3 linked regions of the Caenorhabditis elegans genome follow. The protein of the gene in region 2 interacts with the protein of the main gene of each other region in a pairwise test. Each region holds a gene or a part of one and is shown on either strand. Other genes may lie near its edges.

Region 1 (7,108 bases), about 11 Mb from region 2:
TCAAAACTTCCATAAGTTTAAAAAACTGATCTAAAAATAATTTTTAATTTTATACAAATTATGACGGCTATTTTGTAATATGAACATTTTCACAGTTTTTACAAGTTATGTTCCTTTTCACAAATTGAATGAGAGATTTTTTGATAGTTCAGAGCACCAGTTATTTTTTGACTTTTGCAAAAATTATCAATTGAAATTGTTGATCATTTATTTATCTATATTATGCTGTTTGAAAATGTTGTGAAATATTTGAAATAGGCCGCAATTTAAGCTATTAGAAGAGCTTAGCCAGGCTTCGGAAAATTTGTATTTCATACTATTCATCAAATCATATACTCTTTTTAAGATTGTCCTAATTTTTATTGTATTAAAAAATCTCAATTCTTGCAAATCCATCTGCTTCAAAACTTCCAAAAATTTCAAAAACTGTTTTAAATAATTTCTAATTTTATACAAATTTTGATAGCTATTTTAAATTCAATCAATTCTCAAATAAATCGAATGATATTTCAAACCTCACCAGTTGAATTATATTAAAAGTTTAATGTTGTGATGAAGAGAACTGTGAATGTGAAAATTACATTTCACATCAACACGAGTGTACGATAGAAATGTACAGTTTTTTCCCTTTTAAATGCTCATTTTCAACGCAACTCGCTCTTTGCCAACTCAATCTCGAAATGTCAACTTTTACTTTTGGCCGCACATTGTTAGCACGGTGAATAGTCAAATGAGAGTCCATTTAGTCATGCCCCCCCCCACGCTTTCCACGCGCCCCTTCATTTTTCTCCGCCATTCACCAACTTTTTTATTCATTTTTCCTTGGGACCATGCAACGACTACATACATGTCCACCACGACTTCATTGTGATTATTCATAGAGCCATTTGGCTTTTTGGGGGGAGCCGGCCAAACGGCATTCTTTCGCTTGCATAGGCAAATGTCGTATATCCAGAGTGTCAGCAGGGCAGGAGCAGCGCTAGAAGCACCGTCGTTTCAAATCGACGCCATCTAATATGCATATTTGAACAACTGCGCGGTTTTGCCCACAGATCTGGCCGCCGCAATGCCTTTTTGCCTTTTACTGGCTAAACATGAATCCGACCAGTGCGATCATCCACATTTCCTCGTTTTACAGTACAGCTGAAAACAAAAAAAGATAATGGAGCTTTTGAAGGAATGGGGACTTTGTAGGAAAAGATAATAGATAATCAAGAGAAGTACATCACGTTTCGAATTGCCTCAACTTTAGGGCTCATGTGTCAATGCTCATTTCGTTAAGCTGATGACCTCTCGATATCGCATCTGTTTCTCCATGTTTCATTCATACTACTACCTATTCTCCGTCTTATCCCTTTTTCCTTCCCAATTCTTTGTCTCTTTCTTGCCAAACAGAACAACACCTCCCGAATCAACATTTTATCCCCCCACAATCAATCACTCAATAAAATCCATCAAAAATCTTTTGATAATCAAAAATGCCTCGGTGCCTGACTGCCGAACAAGCCGGCGGGGCGTCGTCTTTTTTGTTAGCAGTTGTGTTGTCTGTCATCCTACGTAATTTTGTGAAGACTCGAATTCATGAGCCAAGTGGTGCTCAAAAGACTAGGTAATGAATGTGTAGTGTAATGGCCGGGAAGAGTGAGCCTCATACACAAGATATCATATCATCTTATCTCCAAGATGTATTTCGAAGAATCTTTTTTGAATATTTCACATTCTCCATTTTTACAGAGCTAACTGTTTTTTCAGCTTCAACTAGAAATTTTCTCAACAGTGAGAATGCAAATACTTTCAGAAAATGATGTGTAAGTGACAAACATAGGCACTCTCGGAGCTACAGAACCAATTTCTCTTCTTATCATATGCAAATTTGGCGTTTTTTAATACTCTAATGTGTTATTCAAAGCTTATCAGTCAAATTTTCTTTATGATCTCATACAGTTCGGCAACATCGAAGTTTAAATTTCAAATTAGGACGCGATAGATTTTACCCTAGTTTCGTTCCTAGATATTAGAATAACTTAGATAATAGAAGAAAAGTGATGCGAAAAACAGGGACTCGAAAATTGTTTTAAACAAAGTGTCCTATGCGAAATTCACTTCATTTCTTTTATTTTTCTCTTCCTCTCCCACATTTTTCGTCGAGAGCTATCATAACAAGAAGAGCTGAACGCGATGCAGCAGTAGCCGCAGAAAAATCAGATCGAATCATTAGGCGCATGCGACAATTGGCTGAAAAATACTGAGACACAAGTCGCACTAGAACGCTTGGCTGTCAGCTAGTTAGGTGCCGCTCGGCTTTTCCTCCCCACCCCGAGAGTGGTTGATTTTATGCCAATATTACAACTTCTAGGGTGGCTCATTTTCCTGAATCGCCGATGCGATCACCCTCGTCGGCAATGAGTGGCCCCCACGCGTTTCGCTTGATCCATGCCGCCGATTTGCTCACATGAAACACATTCTTCATTTTCTTTTCTCAATTGACGGAATATTACATTTTGTTTATCTCGATTCTCTTTTCTCAGTCAATCTTTTCTGATTCGTCATACCTTCATTCACCTTCCAGCTTATACAGTTTCGATTTATTTTTAATTTTCATCTATCAAAACCACATTCTCTGTCGGTCTTATCCAACAGTGTCTCTGTTTCAGACGTAAAAAGTCTCTATCATCATCCTCACAACACATATCATCAATGCAAGAAATATGAACACCTTGGAGAACACGTTTCAATTTCTCGCAGAAGTATTCGGTAGGTGATGCTTTATCAATATCCGTTTCTTTTTCTAATTGTCGACTCTTCGGAGTCTGGTCACAAATCAAGCGCGTTGCTGTAATAATTCATTTTGACTGATTTTCGTGAAAAGCTAATGACAACGGTATGTTATAGGCGATGATTGTCTACCTGGACGCAACAATTTTTTAAAAATGTTGGTCAGATGCTCTTTTTTTGCAGTTTTAAAATCCAAATTCACTTGTGTAAAAAAAAAAAAAAATTAGGCGTTTTTCAAAAATTGTATGGGTTTTTTGATGAAAAAGTGAAACTTTTTGCACTTTTGAGCAAAACAGTTTTGTTGGGTTTTTTCTTGTTTTTTGAGCCTGAAAATGAAATATATGTACATTAAGAAACTAATTCATGTGTATACTAAAATCGAAATGGTATGTATAAAATAATTAAATATTTTTTGGAGTAGCAAACTCAAAATTATCAACTTTAGTTTTAACAACTCCAGAAATAACTTTTGAGAAAATAAGGGTCAAAAGTTTTTTTGAATTTTTGAATGCATTTTTCTGTATAGAAAATTGTCAGAAATTCAAAAAATTATAATACTTGCAAAACATTAAAATAAATTTTGGATACTCGATATGAAATCACTTCAGACAAAAATTAATTTCCAATGTTACGCTACCAGCTTTTCAAAAAAATTGTAAAAATTTAAAGTTTGACGGTAAACATTTTCCAAAACTCATTTACACTTAAAAAGCGGTTTCATAGCGCTAAAAATTTTACAGTAAACATTTTGAAAGAATTTTCAATTTTTTTACAGTCAAAGAGTGGTTAAAATTTAGTTTTGACCTAACATTTTGAAAACATGTATGTAAGTGTAGCAATGCTCAAATGTTTTTCTTGAATTTTCACCAAAATAATTATGGAGTGTTCTATTTTGATATTCGGCCATCTTAGAGTATTATAAAAATTGTTAGAATGAGTTATTTGACAATTACATTCACTGAAACGTTGATCAGTTATTAAATACTGTAAGTTGATTTGTAGAACAATGTACACAAAATAAGTAACTCCAAATTATCAATTAAAAGTTTATCATTTCATTGAAAAATCACAGTAGTGAAAGTACTATCAAAACTTGATCTATTGATCACCGTTCCGTGTGTCCTTATTTTCGCGTTCCACTACTTACACAGATTAACTCAAGTTCAGCGTCGTTGATGTTAGCTTTCGAAAAAAAAAACTTCTGCGCGAATTTGATTGGCATCGTGAAAATGAGATAACATGTTCTGATTGCTCAAAAAAGGAACTTTTCTGACTAGATGCTGCTCCATATTTCTTGTGCACATTTTTCAGAAGCCAATGGTGGTTGCCTTGTCACAGAACGTGTCAGTCCATCTTTGTCGGGAGCCAGCAAACGAAAAAGTCGACCGGTGAAGAGGATCATCACTGAAGACGAAGTAATCCCAGAAGAAGAAGTGGTCGAAGAAGAGGAAGAAGAGGTGAGTCTTTTGAAAACAAACTGCTTTCCAATTGGCTTTTAAAGTTACCTTTTTTCTCAAATACGTTTTTATTTGCAATCAGTGAAAAAAAAAATTTAAGCTGTTTCATAAAACTTTATATATACTAAAATGATTAAAAAAGCTATGAAAATAGTTATAAAATACCACACATCTAAATTAGTCAGTAATGTTTTTCCACTCTCATCGGACCCAAAATCAGACCTTTCCAATTCAACTCGGCCATCCCAGCCCATCGCATCCATTTGCTTTCTCAAGATGAAGCAGTGCAATGAAAGTGTGGGATAATGCAATAAAGGGGTGGCTAAAAAGGAAAAGAGATGCGGGTATCGAGATAAGCAGATTCGGGAGTTGGCCCTTGTTTATGATGTAGGACAAAACTAAAAGTAGGCAGAGGAGAAAGCCGAGCCGCGTCGTTCTGTGTTTTCAACTTTTCATATTGGTCCTTTTTTTAGGCGAAATCTTGGGAAATTTAGTGATTCGTCAAGATAAAAATTTTAATTTAAACTGTTAATTTACTGTTCTGGGCATGATCCTATTTTTTATCTTTAATCATCTTATTAGGGAAAAAACAATTTTTAGTTTTTAGTGCAAAATTCCAAACGAACCAGTTTGTTGCCTGTCTCAAAAATTACATTTTCAAATATGGATAAAAATTTAAACCATCGTCTTATTTAAAAAGTATTTTTTTAATTTATTTTTTAACATAGATTTTTACTGTTATTGTTAATGTGTACATATTATTTTATTTTACTCTTCTGTATCTAGAAATTCTGCATAGTTAATTTTAAGAAAGGGCTCGAAACAGTAAGATTAACATTTTTGAATAAATGTTCTAAATTTTATTTATTAGAACTTTTAATGTCTATTTTCATGACCGTTTCATAAAGAAATAACTAAAAAAATATCGTAAAAATAACTTTAGAAATTGATTCAACTAGATATTCCTTATCATTTTTGACCGAAAAGATATTTGGAAAAAACAGTATTGAGATGACGGTCGCTAACTATTTTCAGCGACTGCCACTGTATATAAACTGCTTCACTTTTTATACATACCTTTTTAGCACAAAAGTGTATTTTCTAATTACTAAAATTTGTTAAATTTCAAGCCTTTTCTTCTCACGTTTTCCAACTTTTCCCACGCTGTAAAAATTTTTTGTTTCGTAGTATTTTAATTTTGGATTAAGGTTCAGTCAGGTCATTTTATCATTTTTTTTTAATTAAAAAACAAAATTTTTGAATGTATTTTCAGTTCTTTTTTCCTTTACTTTTGTAATTAATTTTCATAACTTCTATATTCACATTGAAATTGTATCAAACTACAGCAGCTCTGAACATTTTTGAGCATCCTCAATTTTTTTTCAAAATTAGAGACCTCTGGAAATAAAGAAAGTAGGTTGGCTGACCCAATCATGCTGCAGCATTTTTCAATAAGTATCATGACCCGTCGGTCGCTGAGTAATTGAATAAGTAATGAGCATCGTCGTTTTGGTCCTGAAAATGGAGTCGACGACGACGACGACAAAAAGATGAGATCTTCCTTTACGGAACGAAAACGCCGGCGGTCCGTGCTTCGCGTGTGTATGGGTATGAGAGAAACGACCCCACTGAATGACTCGAGTTTTCGACGAGCACTTCCAGATTTGCTTGTTTTTCACATCGTTCCATTTCTATTCCCCTTAGTTTTTCGTTTCTTTTTTTTCAATTGCCTCAGATTTATACATAGCTGGAACGAGAGGAGAAATATTTTTTGGCGTGTGCCATTCTACGCCCGTCCACCCATTTGGAACGCTTCTTCTTCTTTTTTCCCCCATTTGGTCCCCTTCTCAATGTTTTTTCTGTGACGACTGGTAGCACCCACTCGGGCAGAGATTCCACTCCATCCGTTTGCCGATGCAACATTTGTTGCATACATAAAACGGGGAAAAAGCCGGGGGAAAGCAGCGGCGAAAAAAAAACGCGGGAGGGAATTTGAAAAGTGAGAAGCTGCAAGTGTAGTAGGTCGTTTCTGTTTCTCATTGGGACCATCAAACGACTTCTCTTTTGTTTTCGCAACGACCCCCTCCTCATCTCTCCTCTCGATTTCATTTTCCCTTTTTTTGTAACACTATTTTCCCAGGTCCGGTCATTTGTCTGTTTTTCTATATCTCTTGCTCCCCTTTTCCCTCTTTCTCTCTCTGATCCTTGACTACCACAGCTGTTCATTATAAAAAGGTTCTGATAACGATCAGTGGTCAATAATGATATAAAGTGTGTATGAACAATTGCTCTAACTTGCCCAAAATGGTCCCAAATAGAGAATTTTCGTAGTGACGCGTCTGGAATTTTTCTGAAAACAGGGCTAAGCTCTCCAATTTTGCAATTTTTCGTCACAGCGGCCGGAAATTAATTTTTATTCGATTTCACCTCTGCATACTTTGGCAGTTGAGTTTTTTGTGTTGAATTAGGTAAATTTTCAGTCGATAAGTGCACAAACTTTAGCAATTTTAGCCCTTTTAATCAACATCCTGCAAACAACTAATTTCAGGTTCAGGTTTTTGAAAAGTATACAAATTGAAGTTTTTGAAAAAAAAGTGAACTTCTTATTTTAGGTAACCTGAATTCAATTCAGTTAAATTCAATTTAATATTTTGAAAACTCATTTCAAGACCTTTAATTTTAATTATTGAAAACCAAGTTTGCACTTGCATTCTGAACTTGGAAATCGGAGGTGTTTAAAGTAAAAGCTCCCTGAAACCCAGAATTTAAAGCTTCCAAGTATTTGATTAACATCCTCTGGTATTCAACAATTTCAGAAAATTGAAATTTTCTAAGAGCGCAATCACTTACTTAAAATTCTAAATCAGTTGGTTAAC
Region 2 (9,887 bases):
TAAATGTTATTTTTTGAACTCTGTATGTAATGTTGCCTTGTATTAACTACCATTTTCTTTAATTTCTCACTAACTGTCTTCTAATGTCATAATTTACCTATTTATTTTCAGAATGAAGAAGGGTTTGACAAAAGTTGCATCGAAGAAAACCGAGAAACCGTTTCTGCTTGAAGAGTTGCCTTCATTGCCACTCGGTGATATTGTGAAACAATTGCCAATGTTCGAGCTGTAAGTGTTTATTATCGAACAAATACGATCGCACAATGTTCTCATAATTTATTTTTGATCTACCTTGTTGACTAGGCTCATTCCCTTCCTTTGACAAGACAGCCACAACAAAATAACAACGGCAACAAGATTGGGGGCGGGGTCAAGTTCAGCAGGTAGATCAAATATACATTATGAGAAGTTTGTGCGATCGTATTTTTACAATAATAATATAACATTTTAAGTAGTTGTTTGTTTGATTTCCTAGAAGTTTATCTTGAACTCTGAACAACTAGTACATTAATTTGATTGAAAACTCTCAATATAGAGAATACAACCAAGTTTTTAAATTAAATCGCATATCGCACTTCACCATAAATCTGAAAGCGACTTGGGAGCAAGCTACCCAGGTCGCTCTCTCAATATGTCCTGCCTTCGCAAGCTTAAATTCAATTCAAATACGGTTCATTTTTAGCGTGAAACTGGCGTTACTATCTCAAAAAGCAAAGAGATGGGTATTGGAGCACTCGCGTCGACATCTTGTTCAATTGACTGTCAATCTCGGAGAAACGTTCATCATCAAAATCGGATATGACGGAGAAGCAACCAACGAGATTGTGAACATAAAACTGGATGATATGCCTCCAAAGAGGGTGTATAGAACTAGGAGCTCAACGAGACTGCCAATGAATTTATTGAAAATTGACCCCATTTTCCCATCATGCTGCGCCAAAAACACCTATGGAACTCGAGTCGAAACAGTGAAGTATTTGATTAAATACTTTTCAAAGACGTTCAAGATGATCTCGATGGAACTCACCTTTGATAAGCAGCCCGACGCTGTGATTCTTGATATCATCAACCTTGTGAATCATTTGAAAATCAAAATGGATACTCTGGCAGTTGCTGGAAAGAACAACAGCGACGAAGTGTTCAAGTGCATCATTGATGAAGTTAGCCGAGTTTCGTCTCTTCAAATCTGGGGATTCCCAAATGGCGAAAGACTGTTGGGCTTGAATGATGATTAAAATTTTCTGAACTTGAATAACTTTTGATAATTTTTTGTTTCTAATTATAAGGTCAAATGTTAAGCCTCAGTAATAAATCCATGTATTTCTTTCCTCTTCCATCTGTTTTTTTTTCGTATTCCTCACTTTCGCTTTTCCCATTTTTAGATATCCTATAAATTATCAAAAAAAGTTCAACTAATAAAATATTGTCCATAATTACGTCTACTTGTATTTAACTGTTTAAGTTGCTTACCAGTGTCATGACAAGAAATACAGCGGCCGACATCTCGTGAGCCCGTTTTTGACAACTTTTACTGATTCGGCCGTATCTCGAAAACTAATTTTTTTCTGGAAATGTTTTTGAAGAAAAATAATCTTCATACTACTTGCCATCATTTGTGCCTACTCACTTTGTTTTGAAAAATTCAGCAAAAAAGTTATGGAAGTGCAAACTAGTCCCTCACTTGGCACTGCTCATGCTGTACAACCAAAAATCAGGTTACTTACTTCGAATATATTTTTTTCGAGCATTTTTTAATAATTACAAATGTAAAATCACAATTAAACTTTATTTAAACACGATATCAAAATTCAGGGAAAAAAAATTCTTCACTTGCGAGAAATGCTCTAGTTGTAGTCGTACACTATTCAAGTTTAATCTATCATAACTTTTTTGCTGAATTTTTCAGAACAACGTGAGAAGACACACATGATGGCAAGTAATATGAAGATTATTTTACTTTGCCAACACTTACAGAAAAAAAAGTTTTCGAGATACCGGCAAATCAGTAAAAGTTGTCAAAAACGGGCTCACGAGATGTCGGCCGCTGTATTTCTTGTCATGACACTGGTAAACAACTTAAACAACTGAATACAAGTAGACGTAATTATGGACAAAATTTCTTGAGTTGAATTTTTTTCGATAGCATGTCCAGTTTTTAAGTTGTGCTCGTTTGAAAAACTTGTAAATTTATCAAAAATCGAAAATTGGATAGAATTATGGCCGGCACTGTATGTAAGACCTTCAAAACGTGCTCCTCTAATCCGTTGCTGTTCGGTACTCTTGTTACGTGTTAAGTTGGGACAAGTTTCCTAGCTACTCATAGTTTGTCTGCACTCTCCTAGTGACGAGAAAAAGATGAAAAGATAATCTCTCAAGGAAAAGCAGATTAATCAACAAAGCGCAGCAGAACTTTCAAATTCATTTTAGTTAATAAGTATACGATTTCCGGTGACCGAATATATGTAGTTGGTTTGTGTTGTATTTTGAATTCTGGTATATAAAATATAAGTAATAATATATAAGTAACCGTTTGAAATTGGAAAATTTTTTCGACGCAAACTTTGCCAGTGATATGTTCAATGAAACATGCTAGTTTGAAAAAATTAAGCATACAAGCACATTCCTATAAATAATTTGGTGGCCACCTTCTGTTATGTTTTATCAAAAATTAGACCTCCCGGCTATTTTGTTACAATCGAGCAGACACCCCCCCCCCCCCCCCCCCACGACACCTGTTCTCTTTGAGCACTCCATAACGTGGGAAGGCACATCTTGCGTCATATGTGACCCGACAGTCTCCTACAAAAATATGGGAAACGGGGCAGATTGAGTGATGATGTAACTTGTTCTGCGCAGTCTTCTCTGCCTGTTCTCGACCTTTTTGCGAGGATTGGCTCCAACATACGTTTTGCACCACTTCTCGATGTTTTTTAGTTTGTTTTTCAAAATTAACATATAGTTTTTCATCAATTTTAGACAAAACTAATTCATTCAATTAATTTTAACATGAAATGAAATATTCAGAACTTAACTTTAGTTGTTTTAGAATAATAGGGTATGCATTGTTAAAATTACAAAAAGTGAGATTTATATCCAAGTCTTTAAATTTTATTGTATTGCAGTTTTGGGATTATTTTAGATTTTTATTAGGAAATGCATGCAATTTTTGCAATTATTGATAGATGTACAGTTTTTAGTGTGTGTGTGTTTTTTGTTAATTTCGAGGATTAATAGAAGAAAAATCCTCTTTAAAATTTGAGTTCACACTTTTTTCCACTAGCAATATTAATTTTGAATATTTTGATCACGAGCAATAATTTTTTCAGGATTTTTTCAAAAGATGGATAGCGGTGGCCAAGGTTCAGGTTCACAAGACCAATTCGAAAAAACAGAACAACTCGTTGATGCACAATATCCAGTTCCGACAACATTGAAGCCAGATTTTTTCACAGGTGAACATTTTAATTTTGTGTTAATAACACGATCATACAATAAAAAAGGTTTGTAAACTGACAGGAGACGGAATTTTCATATCGAGAAATTAAAAAAATCCTTTTTTTCAATGTAAAAAATCTATATTTGAAATTGATTTTCATATGACTAGTTTTTTTTTCAAGCGAAGCATTATATTATTCTTTATATACATTTAAAGGTGGAGTACTGCCAGTGGAGAAATTGTTAAAAACCACTCGTTTGGTCACAAAATGACCAAATATCATGATAAAACTTTTCAAAAATTTTTGAAAATTTATTATTTACTGTCAAAAAGTGGCAATTACTCAGTTTTTGCCACTCATAATTTTCGAAGTCGACCAAAAAAACAATTTTTTCGACATTTTTTATGTTCTAATTTTGTTTAAATTATTTTTATTAAAATATTGTAGGGGTCGCAACATGCGGCATTTCTTTAAATTTCCTCAAAAGCTAGTAGATTCTCCAATTGTCAGCACAAATGATTCTGAACCAATTAATGAACAAGTTTATTCAACACAAAGTAATCATGGCGAGCTTCAAGATAAAACCGAGATTGATGAAAGAAATCGAGTGGATCAGTGCTTCGATAATGATCAACCATTTAACGGAAACAATTCAAAACTGTTAGAATCCGAGTCTCATAAACTGGGAGAGTCGTCAACTGAACCTTCAGGAACAACAATATCATCAGGAAATTATGAAATTGCTGAAGACTGCTCGGATGAGACAGAGCAATTCATCGATCCAGACAATCAAGTTCCAGCAGCAAATTTTATTACCAGTAAGCTTAAGATTTCTTTGAAAAATGTGCTCATTCAAACATTTTCTTCATGCAACTTTTTTAGTAACTTTTTCGGATGGGAACTGAAAATTATAAAACTGTGTTGCGTGTTTGCAGAGATTTTAAATATTGGGCTAATTTTTTTCTAAACAAAATGTTTTTTGAATTAATCGTTTTCATTTTCAGACGACTGCACAACAATTGAACAAACTGCAAAAATTCAAGAAGAAAGCGGAACAGATTCTTTGATTGTCAGCACAAATGATTCTGGTTCAACTAATGAACAGATTTTGCCAACACAGAGCAATGATGCTGACTTTCGTGAAAGAATTGAAATTGACGGAAGAGATCAAGTGGATCAGCATGGCAACAGTTATCCACCAATTAGTGGGAACAACTCAAAATTGAGAAAATCAGAGTCTCATGAACAGGGAGAATTTTTAGTTGGACCTTCAAGGAAAAGAAAGCCAGAAACACTAATTGAAACAAAGAGTAAGAAAAGAAAATCGGCGAGAGGAAGACCATCTAATAAGTTGAATCAATTTCAAATACATCAAGTTAGTAGTGACTGGAACGCGAACGCATTTCTTCAGTTTGCTCGACGAGACGCAGCTGGTACGATTCTAGAGTCGGAAGAAGCGAAAAAAACCATCGATGCACAGTTGGAACACTTTTCGGTATGTTGTTTCAATTAATATTAAAAAAAAAAAGAAATAGCACTTTAATAGTGTTGTAAACCTACTGACCCTACTGATAATGAACATGAAATTTCAATATAAACGAAATGTGGCTCAATTTTAAAATATAACGTTTAAATGTCAAACGCTATGTCAAACTTAAGTTATAATCAAAAAATTATTTTTTTTCCAGAAATTTCCTAATTCTTTTGGAATCGCATTAAAGATAGGAACAATTTAATAACTTTTTAATAATTTTCTAAATGTTAGAAAAATAAATAAATGAATTAAACTATTATACACACTACCAAGTATGCTCGTTGATATCATAAATTTTTACATATGCATTGTAAACATAAAACAAAGACCAATTTGAAAAGTTCAAATTTTAACACAGAACTTAATAGGGAGTTTTTTAAAACTATGTATAAAATGCGATCGGTGCGATCGGAAAAAAGTTGAACGTACTATTTTATAGCAGACATTTTGAGCTCGCATAATTGATAATTGTTTTCAGCGAAAAACTCAAACTTTCAGGTCAAAATTTTTTGTCTAAGACAGGACGTTGTAGGACGTTGTCAAAGCAAATTACAAATTATGTATATGCTTTTAACAAAACTTTAAAATATTTGCAGGAGCCCTCGTGCTCGACGGATGTTTCGGTTCATGTTGTCAGAGACAACGAGAATCTGGGCTTGGTGACAAACAAACTCCGATCGCTAGCCATTCCACCAATATCCAACCTTCCCAGTGATCTGCCTTCATTATATAAACTCCCGAAACTGTTTCTAACCGGAGCGACTTTTATGGACGTCTCAAAATCAAAAGGAAAACAAGTTATTACGAAAGCAAGCAAATGGATCAAATCTGGCAAAAATCTCGTATACGAAACATCTGGCTGTTCTGAACTATTTGATGAAACAACAAAATTCAACACTGATGGAAAGATTGAAGAAAACACAAGTGAAGAATACACAAATAAAGATCAATACAGGTTACCTGTTCCTATCTATAATATTGAGAACAACAGCGATGAAACATCAAATTTTATTAAAAATATCGTCAATACCACAACCATGTGCATCTTTCGAGGAATCGAAGAAGCATTTGGGATGGATCGCCAAACGTTTGACATCTCCACATTGGCACCTCTCTACCCCGATTACCCATTGAAAATTCGTCGACAGATGCCCCAGTCATCAGCAACCAATTTCTACATGAATGACAAAAATACCGTGCAGAGATTGGGAAATGCCTGGGCTGTCTTCGATTTTGAAGGAGTTACTCAGTTGAGAGATTTTGCGAAGAATTATGAAAGCCTTAAGGATATAGGAAGGTCAGGTACGTTTTTGAACTGTTTTTTTTTAATTCTTATTTAGCGAAAGATATTTGAGTTTTATAAGAAAATAAGTATCTTATAAAACCCAATTTCAAAATTTTTAAAGATTGGTCTAAAATTCCAGTCAGCTTTGAAAACCAAATTAGCGAAAACTTTTCAAAAGATTTCCAGGAGTTTTGAGCAAAATAAAGCAACGTCGCAACCATTTGAACCTCAATGGCATCCCAATGAAAATATTTGAAAAATATTTAGATTTTGAAATTCGTATAAAAAAAAGCACTTACTTCATTGTCGACCTTTAAATTATGGGTAATCAGAACTGAGTTCTCGCCAATTTTTGACTCTTAATCAACCCACTTGGGAACTTTTTTGATAAGTTTTAATAAAAACTAGAGAACTTCCAAAGTTTATAAAAATCATTAAATTTGTTCACCTTTCATTTTTCAGCTTACCAAGCTATCCTACGCAATCCTTCCGCATTTTCGGAAGTAATGGATGACATGAAGAAGCAAATCAAGGAAAATACGATCCCACTCAGTCCTGAACACAAACTTACAGTCCATGAAAATGCGACAGTGTTGGCATTTGGAACTAATATTGATCTGGATGATCAGCGATTCAAGGAACAGCTCGATGTATGTCGTTTAAAGTTAACGGTAGATAAATAATCATTATTTTCAGGAGATCAAAAAATTGCCTGATTGTTTGAGACCCGACGGAGCCGGGAATCTTCTCAACTTTGCTCAAGAGTCACTTGCAGGTCTGAACAAACCTCAAGTTTATTGCAAGCCTCCCGGAGCAAGAACCACAGCTCACCTGGAGAACCAAGCTCTCGGGTCCATTAACATTAATCATGGACCAGGTGATTGTGTTTGGTACGGAGTGCCCATGGAGTACAGTGGCAGAATGGAGGTGCTGATCAAAAAGCATCGACTTAATGTTTATAAAAGCGGGTACTGGCCAAGTGAGCAGGAATTAAGAAATGAAAAGATACCATCGCAAAAGTTTCTACAAAAGCCTGGAGACATGGTGTACGTCGGTATTGGAACATTTCATTGGGTGCAATCTAATGATTTTGCAATAAACGTCTCCTGGAATGTTGCACAACCAACTTTTAATCAACTGGCTGCTGCAATGGTCATTCACGATCACAACATCTCGAGTAAAGCAACTACTCTCATGCCTATTGAGCCAATTGTCTGGAAAATGGCTGAAGATGGAGTGGAGGCAGAGGATGAGAATATTTTCCTGGCTCGAAAGGCTATAATGCTAAAGTACGGTTTCGTCACAGAATCATAATACTAGATAACTAATTAATTCAAAATTACAGAAGTTTGGCAAAAAGCCAGTTTGAGTTCGATTTCGCCATTCAGGAAAATATGCTCATCAGATCAGCAAAAAACGAGAAATCGATCATCCCTGTTGAGCGATGCTCTATCCAAAAATGCCGGGAAGTTCTGTTCAATATGATCACACTTGACAATAAGCAAAATCCATTCTGCCTTAATTGCATAGTTAAAGGGTGAGTTGCATTTTGTGAAGAGTGATAACTGATAAATGCGGAAGAAGGGATGTATTGTTTACTCATCATAGAAAATTTTTTTGTATTTTTTTTTTCGAATTATCATTTTTTTATTGCATTTATCGGTCGTTTATCCAACGTTTTTTCGTTGAATAACGTATATTCAAACCCGATGGAAGGCCATTTTTTGGTGATTTTTGGTTAACTATCTTGAGATTATCTACCAAAACATGCAATTAAAAAACAAAAGCTCAAAAAAGTCAAATTTGTGACCGTTGCGTCACGGAAAAATCTCCCAAATTAGAGAATTTTTCGTACGAAATTTGTTTATTTGAGTGCATTTTAAGTATATATGTTCAAACATGTAGACCACTTTTATTTTGGTTAAAAAAGTAAAAAACACACGAATAGCAAGATAAAAATAGTTTAATTGGTGTCAAAGTGTCGCATTTTGGTTTCTTCGGGAAATGCGAGAGAAGAGACGGAGATTTTTCAGCTGATTTCGCATGGCTATACGTGTGCTGACGTTACATTTTTCTGGAAGAGAAATTCCCGCATTTTTGTAGATAAAACCGCAATGAAACAGCCTGACACCACGTAATAATCTAATATTTAATTTTCCAGAAAAGTCAAAGCAACAGCATTTCAAAGGCGGGACATTGCTGACTTGGTGAAGATATTTGACGAGTTTAAATGGGTGTCCTGAAACTTTTCTTTTTTTCAACTTTCGATCCTCAATTTTCACAGCTTTCTTTTGTATTATACAATTCTTGCACATTTTGAATCACTTATCGTTTTATTGATCTTGTTTTGATTTTTTATTATGCAACATTTTTCGATATGATCAATTCTGTTTAATAAAGTCCAACTTACTAATTATAAAAAAAATTTATTCTTACATACAAAAAAGAAATCGAAAATGTTTAGTTGCATGGGTTGACAGATGGACGTGCTGTGGCCATTGGCATATTATCTGAAAATAGGAGTTTTTGATTTTGTATGCAATTATTTTGAAATTACTGAAATCCTCTGGGTCTTGTGGGTAGCGAAAATCTTCAGCGTTATCAATATTTGGAATTGGTGCGGACAGAGAGATCCCAACGAGCAAAACCATGAAGAGAGTCAAGAAAGACAGTAGGAAACGAAACATTTTCTGAAAGATGAGATTGGGTTAGGAAAAAAAGAAACACGAGGAGTTCGGTGAAGAAAAATCAGACAATGACGAAAAGATGTTTTCAATGTTATCACACAAAATGTTGAGGTTGAAGCAACTGCGGCGGCAGTTGTCAATTTTCCCGGTGACATGTAAATAAAAGAGTTGGTGAATCATACAATTTGATTTCTAGAGAAACGATTGAAAATATATTCTGTTTAGAAACCTGACTTAAAATCAAAACCTGAGTTAAAATCATGTTAAAAATAAGTATACAATTAGGAAAAGAAAAACAGGTACATATATCTCTCCAATAATAACCGTCAAACTACAGAGGTTTTGAGTGTATTTTCCCTTCTCGCCGTTTTTGTGGTTCAGGGCAACGGCCAGAGCAGTGATGCAACTGTGCTTCTGTGCTGCTCCATATACTTCAGTTGCTGATCAATCCCAAAATTTTCTCATATTGCTCTTCTATTGACTACTTCTAAAAATTGAAAAAAATTAAAAATAAATCATATTCTCTGTCAGTCTTGCACCCATTTGAGAACTTCTGTAATTTAACGTTTGAGAAAATAAAACTATTTTTTTGTTCCGAGCTTAGTGCGCTCAACGGCTTGTAACTGCAACAAGACTTTAACCAAAAGCATCGGTTTTTTTTTCTGGAAAATCTATAATTAAAACCTTCAAGAATTGTCATGAATTTTCTACTTGTTTTCAACTCTCGCAAAACTGCAACATATGCATGAGGCAAACATAACTTGATACTTTCGGATAATTTTCAAATAGAATGCATCTGGAATATCGACGAGGAACCTATGAGTTGAACAATCACAGATGTTTAAAAGCTGCGTTTCACGAAAATATCTATTCATTTATAGAGAAATTAGTTGGAAATTCATATTATGCTCAATGGAATGAAAATTGAATAATTATGAGAAGTT
Region 3 (8,564 bases), 1.8 Mb from region 2:
CTCTTTCCCTCTCTCACCATGTTCACCATTTTCTACTTCGTCTATCTTTTTTTTCCGCGTTTCCCATGTTTTGTTTCTTTTCCTTTTTTATCGTCTTCAGCCTAGTTTTTAAAATATGTAGTTTGTTTCAATAGTCTATATCAAAGATGAAAAAAGGGAGGATACGGGATTATTGTGAAAGTAACCTTTTACATATGTATGAGTGCATAATCTATGTGTTGCCATAGAAGCCCAAAAAAGTTTTTATTAAGAGAAAAGCTTAACGGCACATAGAGTTGCATAATTAGACTGGTGACCGTCTTCAAAGTACTCACAAACATCATTGACCTGACCTTATACGACAAGACATCTTCACAGTTTCACAAAACCGACCGGGTTCTTTTGATTTTCGATTCGTGTTCCTGATCTCTTTTAAAGACCAGAGCAGAAAAGTTGTGTTTTGTAGGTTGTGTTCAAAATAGGTAATTTACAATTGTTCGATATTTTTCCCCAAGTGTTTTTCCTTTAGAGAAACAGAAACGAATTTGTGTTTGTTATTGAGTCTATGATTTCTCAATGAAAAAAATTGTCCGTTATATCTCTGTTATTGAACAATCATTTACTATATATAAAGCGCTTATTCCGTTTGTCCATAGTTTGTAGTCTATGTAGTCTTTGTAGTCTGTGAAGTTTTGGCTTCTGTGGGGATAGTGAGTTGGGGTTAGTGTAGGGATATAGTACTGTAGTGGTACAATAGTGGTACGGTAGGAATACTGTAGGGTTACGGTAGTTTCAGAAAAATTAGTTTTGAGCCCCAGAAGTCGGGGGCCGCGCCGGAGGTGCGGTCCACGGCTGGTTTAATAATATACCCAAACGATGATACGCTCGATTGTATATTTTTCTAGTATTGAAATATGATTCAGAAAATAAAATTAATTTTATAAGCTGTTAGTTTCTCATCGTAATCACTAATATGTTATTATAATCATAAATACTAAATATTAATGATATGATTCATCTAGATTTTGTAAACATGTATTTCTCATAACTATGCATTTATTTGATTATCTAAAGAAGCTTAGATTTAGTGATGTTTCTATAAAATCTCCCTATATTTTAAAGCTGACAAATAATGTAAATTACTTCGATTTTCTAATCAAATATTACAATACATTGCAGTGTTTAAAAACAATTGGAAAAACAAAGAAGAGAATTTCCACTATTTTGTTCTCACATTATCAATAAATTATTCAAAGAAACTTAACCAAAATCCGATAAAATCTGCTCGCTTATTCTAGAAATTGGTTCTTACGTGGAATTGTGCTAATGTGCTCATTGATGTTTGAGGGTTTCCAAGAAATCACAGGATATTATTTTGCAAGGCTCTTTCTATTTAACTATTTTTCACTTTATAGTATACTCAAAGGTCATACCACAGAATAAGACTAGACATGTATAAAGAGATCTGAGAATTGTGAGAAAACGTATTATGCTAATTTTAAAAATAAAGATATTTCAAAAAATAAATGCGGTTATTTTTGTTTTCAGACGATAGTTGCATAACACTTTGAAACATAAATATATAGGAGCTTCATAAAATTTCCGGAAAATTTTTTATGTATGGTTTTTCTATTATTATGAAGATTTCGGCATTTGAAAGTTATTTCTTTAGATTGTTTATGATGGTTTGCGTTCTACACTGACACTGTATATATAATACCTTTGCATTACCATCAATAAACCCATCATACGCTCTCGTGTTGGAATACTGTTGTTTGAACTTTTATTTCCACAGATCGGACATATTATTAATGACCATGAGTTGCGAACTATAAACGATTTATTATTTTTCACTGCTTCATTAAATCATCTCTTGGTTCTTTTTTCCAAGATCTAAACGTTTTTGATCAGTTTGAATGTTTTCAGACTAATAAACATGTTTAACTCTATACTTATGACATACAACGTTTGAATAATTGTAAACTTATAACTGTCTACCAACCGATAAAATCGACACTAGTTATTTTCTCTACATTTGTCTCCAATTTTGTTAAATTGAAAATAAATTAAAAGTTCGAAATTTCTTTTTATCTTTCTTTCTCTTTGTCGCTATCATGATCAACAACTATTTATATGGTCATGCGCAGTCTGCGTGTCTCCTGATACACTATTTCTAGAATGGTCTTTTTGTTTTGAAACATTCAAATGATTCCAGGAGGTTGGCCTCTTGTGATTTAGGCAGGTGCATTATTTTGTGATTGTAGGTTCTAGAAAAATAGTGAAGTGTTATAAAAGCCTCCGTGTGAGAAGCTGAACTTTGAGAGAATAACCTTGTGTATATTTTGTTATTAATCGGATCATCTTCATTCAAATTAGATCCCAATTCTCATTACTTACTACGATGAATGAAATGCATTTCTAAAGTATATTTAATCTATTCATCTTCTTCTTGGGAGCATTTTAATCTTATTTCATGAAAACTACGCCCATTGCAAAACTTTATGAGTTTTAGTTTTCTCTCGATTGAGATTAACATTTGATATTTTATGCACTCATTTTTTTCTTCTTTTGCCCGTTTCTATGTAAAAACTCCAATTCATTATTTCATTTCAGTAATGCTAGCCTATGAAGGCCCGCTAGCAGAAACCAATTACTCACGTCAAAAAGCAAAGGAAATGGCCAAGAAATTCATACCAGGTGTGTTTCTGAAAATGATTTCCAATGAAAAACTGCAAAATGTTTCAGGTGAACTGTGCAGTGTTTGTGGTGACGTAGCATCTGGAATTCACTACTCGGTGGCCGCTTGCAACGGGTGCAAAACGTTTTTTCGTAGAGTCGTTTTAGAGGTAAGAGAAAATTGACGGTAAACAAATTCATAAACAAATTTCAAATGTTATATTTTTCATCTGCAAGTTGGTTTTCAAATAAAAAATAGAAACTGCTACAAATATTATTTCCAAGTTTCACAATTTTTTTCAAATTTCACAAACCTTTTCAAAATTATGATTGAGTAATAATTTCAGAATCGAACGTATTCCTGTAAAAATAATGGAGACTGTATAATTGACAAATCAATGCGATGCTCTTGCCGACATTGTCGTTACAAAAAATGCATAATTGCCGGAATGGATCGCGGAGAATTGAGCATGGAACGACGACGGAAACGAAAAAAGTTGAACGGATTAGAAGGATCCGAAGAAAGCTGGGAAACTGAGGATGCTCTTATCAATTTGTTGTTGTATAAAGAAACTTTGTAAGTTTTAAGCTTTCTAAAAATTGATATCTAGTAAATAGAACATGTTTTCCATATAGGATAAAAAGCAAAGTTCACGCAAAATAGAGACTAACAATTTTCACGTTCGACACACACACACTAAAGAAAGTGCAAATATGGCTACGTGCGAAAAGCAAAACTTTCATTGCCAAGGTCTCTGAGCATTATTGAAAGATTTTGGAAAAAAACAACTAATTGTCCAAGAAGTATCCGTGTTAAAATATTAAAATGTGTGTTAGTTTTGAAAACACAAGCTATTTTTTAGTACAAAGAGTTTAAGTCAAAAACGTTTAATGATAATGAGAAAAAAAATGGGACAAGAATATTTTCAAATTTTTGAAAAATGGTATTTTTTGTTCCCAAAATTTTGATATTCCTAAAAGTGTTTATGTCAATAATGTTTCGACGGTCTCATCAAATACAACTAGGCGGAAGGTTGGTCTCAGAATAACCGCTCTAAAAAAATTGTGTCTGTTAACACATAGTATGTTTCACCCACATCTTGGCTCACAAATTTGCAGGACCTCTCACTAAAATCTATAACATTTCGTGTTAAATTTAAATTCTAAATTGCACAATGTACATTCTAAATGTTAGTATTCATTGAAAATGTTGAAAATTAATTTTCAGATACCAAAAGCTACTGCTCTCCTCCGCAATGATGATACACACTTCTCTGCGGGAAGCGTTGGACATGACACAAATTGCATTCAATGATGAAAACCATACAGTATGTAATTTTTAATAAAATACGCATAACAATTGAAAGAAAATGTATTTATTCATCGAAACCTTTATTTTTATGAAACAAAGGAAAATTAATTGAGACTGCATAACATTCGAAAAAATGAATAAAGATAATCAATTTCAGTATGATGAGCGAATGGATCCAAAATACCCAACAAACTTTTCTTATTGGCGAGCAAAAATTTTAACTGTTCTTGTCGAATGGGCAAAATCGTTTGAGGTATGTTTTGAAAAAAAAACACGCATAGACGTTTCTAACTGAAACTTTATTTTCAGGTATTCAGTCATTTAATACCGGAAGATCAAAAACGACTCTTCATCCACACGGCGTTTTCTAATTTAGTCTTAGCAGAAGCATTTCACACTCCAGAAAAATACAACGATCGGATAGTGTTTCCAGATGGACTCTGTGGGTATGAATTGATCAGTTGTGTTTACATGTTTCAAAATTTATCTTATCAGATTTCGAAACGTTGCTCAATCAGTTTCCACGGATGGTGTTTCGAACAAAACGTTTGGATTGACGCCGACCGTGGTTGCCGTAATAAATGACGTTCTCGTTCCAATAAGAAGAATGCGACTAACAAAAGTTGAATATGTTTTGCTGCAAGCAATTATTTTCTTCGATCCTGGTTAGTGCAGTTTTGAAATTTCTCAAAACTATGTAGTGCTTTCAAACACACAAATTGGCCCTTTTAAGAGAAACAAATACAACAAAACAAATACAACAAAAAATAGTTCAAAACTTCGCCTTCCAGTTTTCACATTGAACTGAACTGTTAAATCTTAAATATACTTGATTTCCCTAATTGTATTTTAGTGTGCTGAAAACTAGTTGGAAGTGTTATATGCTGGAGTAAAAGTAGAAAAACGTTTCATTATTTTAATGTTTGAAAGCAGAAAAAACTCCCATGTCTTTTTTTCAAAAATGTTTTTCTTCAGTAAGTTAGCATATTCAGAATACATTTCTGAAAATTAAGTATGTAGCTTTCCTACACATGTTTTTGAAAAACAGTTTATATTGAAAGCAGTTAAATGCTTATAAGGTCAATTCCATAATTGAAAAATTGAAACTTTACTTGATAGGACAAAGATCTGTGTCAATTAACGTCTTGCACAAAATAATAAAAAGAAATCCGTCGAACCGGATTCGAACCAGTGACCTAAGGATACCTGCTGACTCTACAGTCCTCCGCTCTACCAACTGAGCTATCGACGGCACGAGGAAGCAGGAGAGCGACAGCGGTTATATAGAGGACATTCTCGCTTTCACTCTCGCTTCTCTGCCCCTATGTCTATTTAGTAGACGCAGAGTTTTGCCACATGTATTCTCTGCGTTTTCAAATTGCTCATGCTTTGGGTTGGCAAATAAAGTTATGCACATGTTTATGAATTTTAGGAGAAATTTGCCCAGGTGGCATGACAAATCTTATTGCGAAAGGTTACTTAACTAGATTTCACGGAAGTTTGATTAAGTTAAAAATTATCCCACATATATCTAATACAAATGTATTGATAAGTACGAAAATAGAAACACAGCACATCATTTTTTTAAACGAAAATGAAAAAAAAAAAAAGTTACGGAATATAAATTAAGGTTCATAAGTGACGTGATTCAGTGTTACGTAAACTATGTGTATTTGTTTCCAAAATGATTTTTTAAACAGAACCGTATAACAAATTTCTCAATTTTCAGATTGTCTTTCCCTGACAAAACACGGCTCCCAACTCATTGCTGCCAAACGCAAGCGACTTCTGGATTCCCTTCAAAAATGGCTTCATCAACAAACGAAAGACTCAATTGAAGCGTCCACCAGATTTGCGGAAATCCTCCTCAGAATCTGTAATGTACAGGTGAGAATATTCTGCCCCATTGTTCTTCAAAATTCGTAATAAAAACAAAACGAAATGAAGCTAAAAGAGAAAAACAAAAATCTTAACTTTACAAAAATTCATTGTGACTCGTCCTACACAATTCGACGCTCACTTGACTGATTTTGAGGCAAAATTTAATTTTTAAGAATTTAATAATGAGAAGGAAAAATTGAATTGCAGGACCTTTCACTAAAAAACCGAGTTTTATTTCAGAAAGTGGCGGCATTCAAACGAGAAACACTGTGCACAATTGAGACATTCGAATTGATGCAGCCACATCCGTTCACCATGGAAATTTCTAAAAGTTATCCCGACTTTTCATATTTCTGAAAATTTACATATTTATGATGCAACTTACAACCAGCTTCTAGTCACTTTAAGCTGATTTCTAGACAATAGTCATTGCAACCCTACAGTAGATACTATAAATGTTTTTATTTCCCCTTTCCACTACCTCATGTTAGTTTTTATAATCACTATGCTCACGTGTCAAGAAACTTTCGGAACGTTTCGATTCGATTTTTAATCCGTTGGTGCGAAATTCATGTTCTCCCATTACTCCTTTCGTTTCTTTTTTGATCATTTTTGCGCGGGTATGTTTTCCTTCTAAACGTTCCTAATTTCATCGAATCAATGTTTTAATTGTTCAGTATATAGACGATATGTTGCCAAACCAGTACCCCCATACCTATTTCGTCTTCTAGCACTTTCTCATATCAGTATAAAGCTGAGAGTCTTGTGATAAACGACACAATTCAATAAAGACAAGGGTTTCCACAGCAGCGCGCACGTTTCCGCGCTAATTCGATTCACAGGTCGTCAATACTACCGTAGTGAATGACGAGCAATGCTGAAATTTGATTATTATTACACTGGAACTGAGAAAATTGGTAAATAGGCGGAGCTTGCATGGCTCGGCCCACCTTTTGGAGCCGAGCTTGGTCATTCGACATTTGAGCTGTCAGCAAGATGAGCCGAAAATTTCTTCTTGGTAAGTCCTTCAATTAAAATCTTGTTCAGAAATAGTTTTTTTTTGGAATATTTGGAACTTGTAACATTTTTTGCAAACAAGTACAATTTGTCAATTTCCGTACGTTTCCTATTCTAGTAAATTATATCGACAGATTCCTAATTAAACCAAGACCCTGAAAAATGTATCGTCATACATAACATCTATTTTTAAAAGTGCCGAGCCAATCTCCAGATCTTTCGTTTAGGTTATCTTTTTTTTGTTGCACAATTCAAAACAATTTTAGGTTAAAAATTACCCAGTCAAAGTTTAGATTTACTTCGGCAACGATGTAGCGCGCTCAATTTCCCATCGCTCAAAATCTCACTTTTTCACTTATAGAAGTCTTTATCCGGACTTCATTGCGTTTTTCGGTCTTACATTTTATGTATATTCTTACTAATAAGTTGATTGATACAGTTGAACACAATAATCTCACAAGTGATAGTCTAACTTTAATTGGCTCAAACATATGAGATATTTCCATTTTAGTTAAACCTTATGAAACACTACTTTGTGAATCAAATGCCAATGGGGTTCCATGAATACCCTAGCTCAGGGATGATATCTATTTAAACTCACATATACAACAGTAGTCTACCATTGCTCCAAAATTTCAGTGTTCATCGCAATCTGCGTGCTCTCCCAAAACGCTATGGCCCTCCGTGGTGCACTATTCCGTTCTGGACGTAGCCTCATACACCGTCAAAGTCAAAACGAAGAGGCCGTTCTCAACCAACCACATCTTTTGCCCGCCGAAAAACGTTCCCCGGTTAGTGTTCTTTTTCGTTTTTATTTTAATGCTAAAATTGTAATTGACGGTTTCCAAATTGGATAGCCAACCAAAGGTTAGATGATGTGTATCTTTTTCAGATCGTTGAGCTGTATCCCGTGGTTGACTCTGGCAATGTAGAACCTGAAGCGTTCCCCGCTTACTTCCGGTTCTAAAAAAAAACAATATAAAAACAAAGAGATCGTGGTCGAATCGACTGACATAGTGCTACATTTCTGATATTTTGATAATTATGATTTATTTCTTTTGTATTTTGCATAAAGATCGTGCATAAAGAATAAACGGTTGTGAGAAGTTGTGCGACTTGGAACATGACTAGAATGCACGATAGGAAAATAAGATTTTATGTTCAATCTCATAATTCCTTTCAGAATATTTAACAAAAAACTCATACCTAAACACAAATCTGTGCGAAATCGCAATCTGTTGTTTGACCTCTAAACTCAAAAATGGTACATCTGTAAGAAATTATAAATATACTCCGACGCGGACTGTACCACCACAATTTATGCAGTAAAAAGCAGAATGTGTAATCATTGTCAAAAAATGTATTCCAAATTGAAAAAATCAGTGGGATCTACTGGAAAAATTAAAAATATTCACAACGGAAACACACGGCGTAAAAAAAACCAAAAGCGTCACACAGTATTTTTCTGTTTAGAAAACTCAACGCTTATACGTTTTTTAAAAATTATACGGCTTATAAATTTTCAATTAGCGATAGAAAATTTTTGTAGCTTTTATCGGCTATTTTCTGTCTTTCATTGTGTCTTAAGAATTGGAAATAAAAATAATATTTAATTTGGCTTGAATTATTCGGTGTTTGAAAATTGAGCTGTGCAATCTTTGGTCATTTTCCGGGAAGGCACGAATTTTGCAAAACAAAC

Evidence for each region. The genes of interacting proteins can lie anywhere in the genome.
Region 1: the proteins of jmjd-3.2 (region 2) and ceh-18 interact in a two-hybrid assay, tested with the Caenorhabditis elegans proteins (one large-scale study listed by BioGRID).
Region 3: the proteins of jmjd-3.2 (region 2) and nhr-17 interact in a two-hybrid assay, tested with the Caenorhabditis elegans proteins (one large-scale study listed by BioGRID).

Annotation. Positions count from the first base shown.
Region 1 is NC_003284.9:3,853,344-3,860,451, reverse strand, and holds the start of ceh-18 (Homeobox protein ceh-18), read left to right. Parts: upstream 1-2,654; 5' UTR 2,655-2,708; coding exon 2,709-2,754; intron 2,755-4,085; exon of another isoform or gene 4,086-4,086; coding exon 4,087-4,232; intron 4,233-6,020; exon of another isoform or gene 6,021-6,229; intron 6,230-7,108. UniProt on the Caenorhabditis elegans protein: Directs gonadal sheath cell differentiation and function. Also directs gonad migration and plays a role in specifying the differentiated phenotypes of epidermal cells during postembryonic development.
Region 2 is NC_003284.9:14,444,890-14,454,776, forward strand, and holds jmjd-3.2 (JmjC domain-containing protein), read left to right. Parts: upstream 1-3,320; 5' UTR 3,321-3,340; coding exon 3,341-3,452; intron 3,453-4,015; coding exon 4,016-4,255; intron 4,256-4,441; coding exon 4,442-4,932; intron 4,933-5,567; coding exon 5,568-6,273; intron 6,274-6,718; coding exon 6,719-6,906; intron 6,907-6,952; coding exon 6,953-7,545; intron 7,546-7,601; coding exon 7,602-7,793; intron 7,794-8,417; coding exon 8,418-8,499; 3' UTR 8,500-8,678; downstream 8,679-9,887. Other genes in the region: F23D12.4 (F-box domain-containing protein), read left to right, coding at 113-228, 683-1,235; F23D12.7 (Neuropeptide-Like Protein), read right to left, coding at 8,717-8,766, 8,814-8,943.
Region 3 is NC_003284.9:12,661,883-12,670,446, reverse strand, and holds nhr-17 (Nuclear Hormone Receptor family), read left to right. Parts: upstream 1-2,592; 5' UTR 2,593-2,594; coding exon 2,595-2,676; intron 2,677-2,724; coding exon 2,725-2,825; intron 2,826-3,002; coding exon 3,003-3,232; intron 3,233-3,883; coding exon 3,884-3,983; intron 3,984-4,124; coding exon 4,125-4,220; intron 4,221-4,276; coding exon 4,277-4,413; intron 4,414-4,462; coding exon 4,463-4,632; intron 4,633-5,123; exon of another isoform or gene 5,124-5,223; intron 5,224-5,696; coding exon 5,697-5,854; intron 5,855-6,088; coding exon 6,089-6,205; 3' UTR 6,206-6,610; downstream 6,611-8,564. Other genes in the region: nlp-76 (Neuropeptide-Like Protein), read left to right, coding at 6,845-6,866, 7,505-7,656, 7,758-7,832.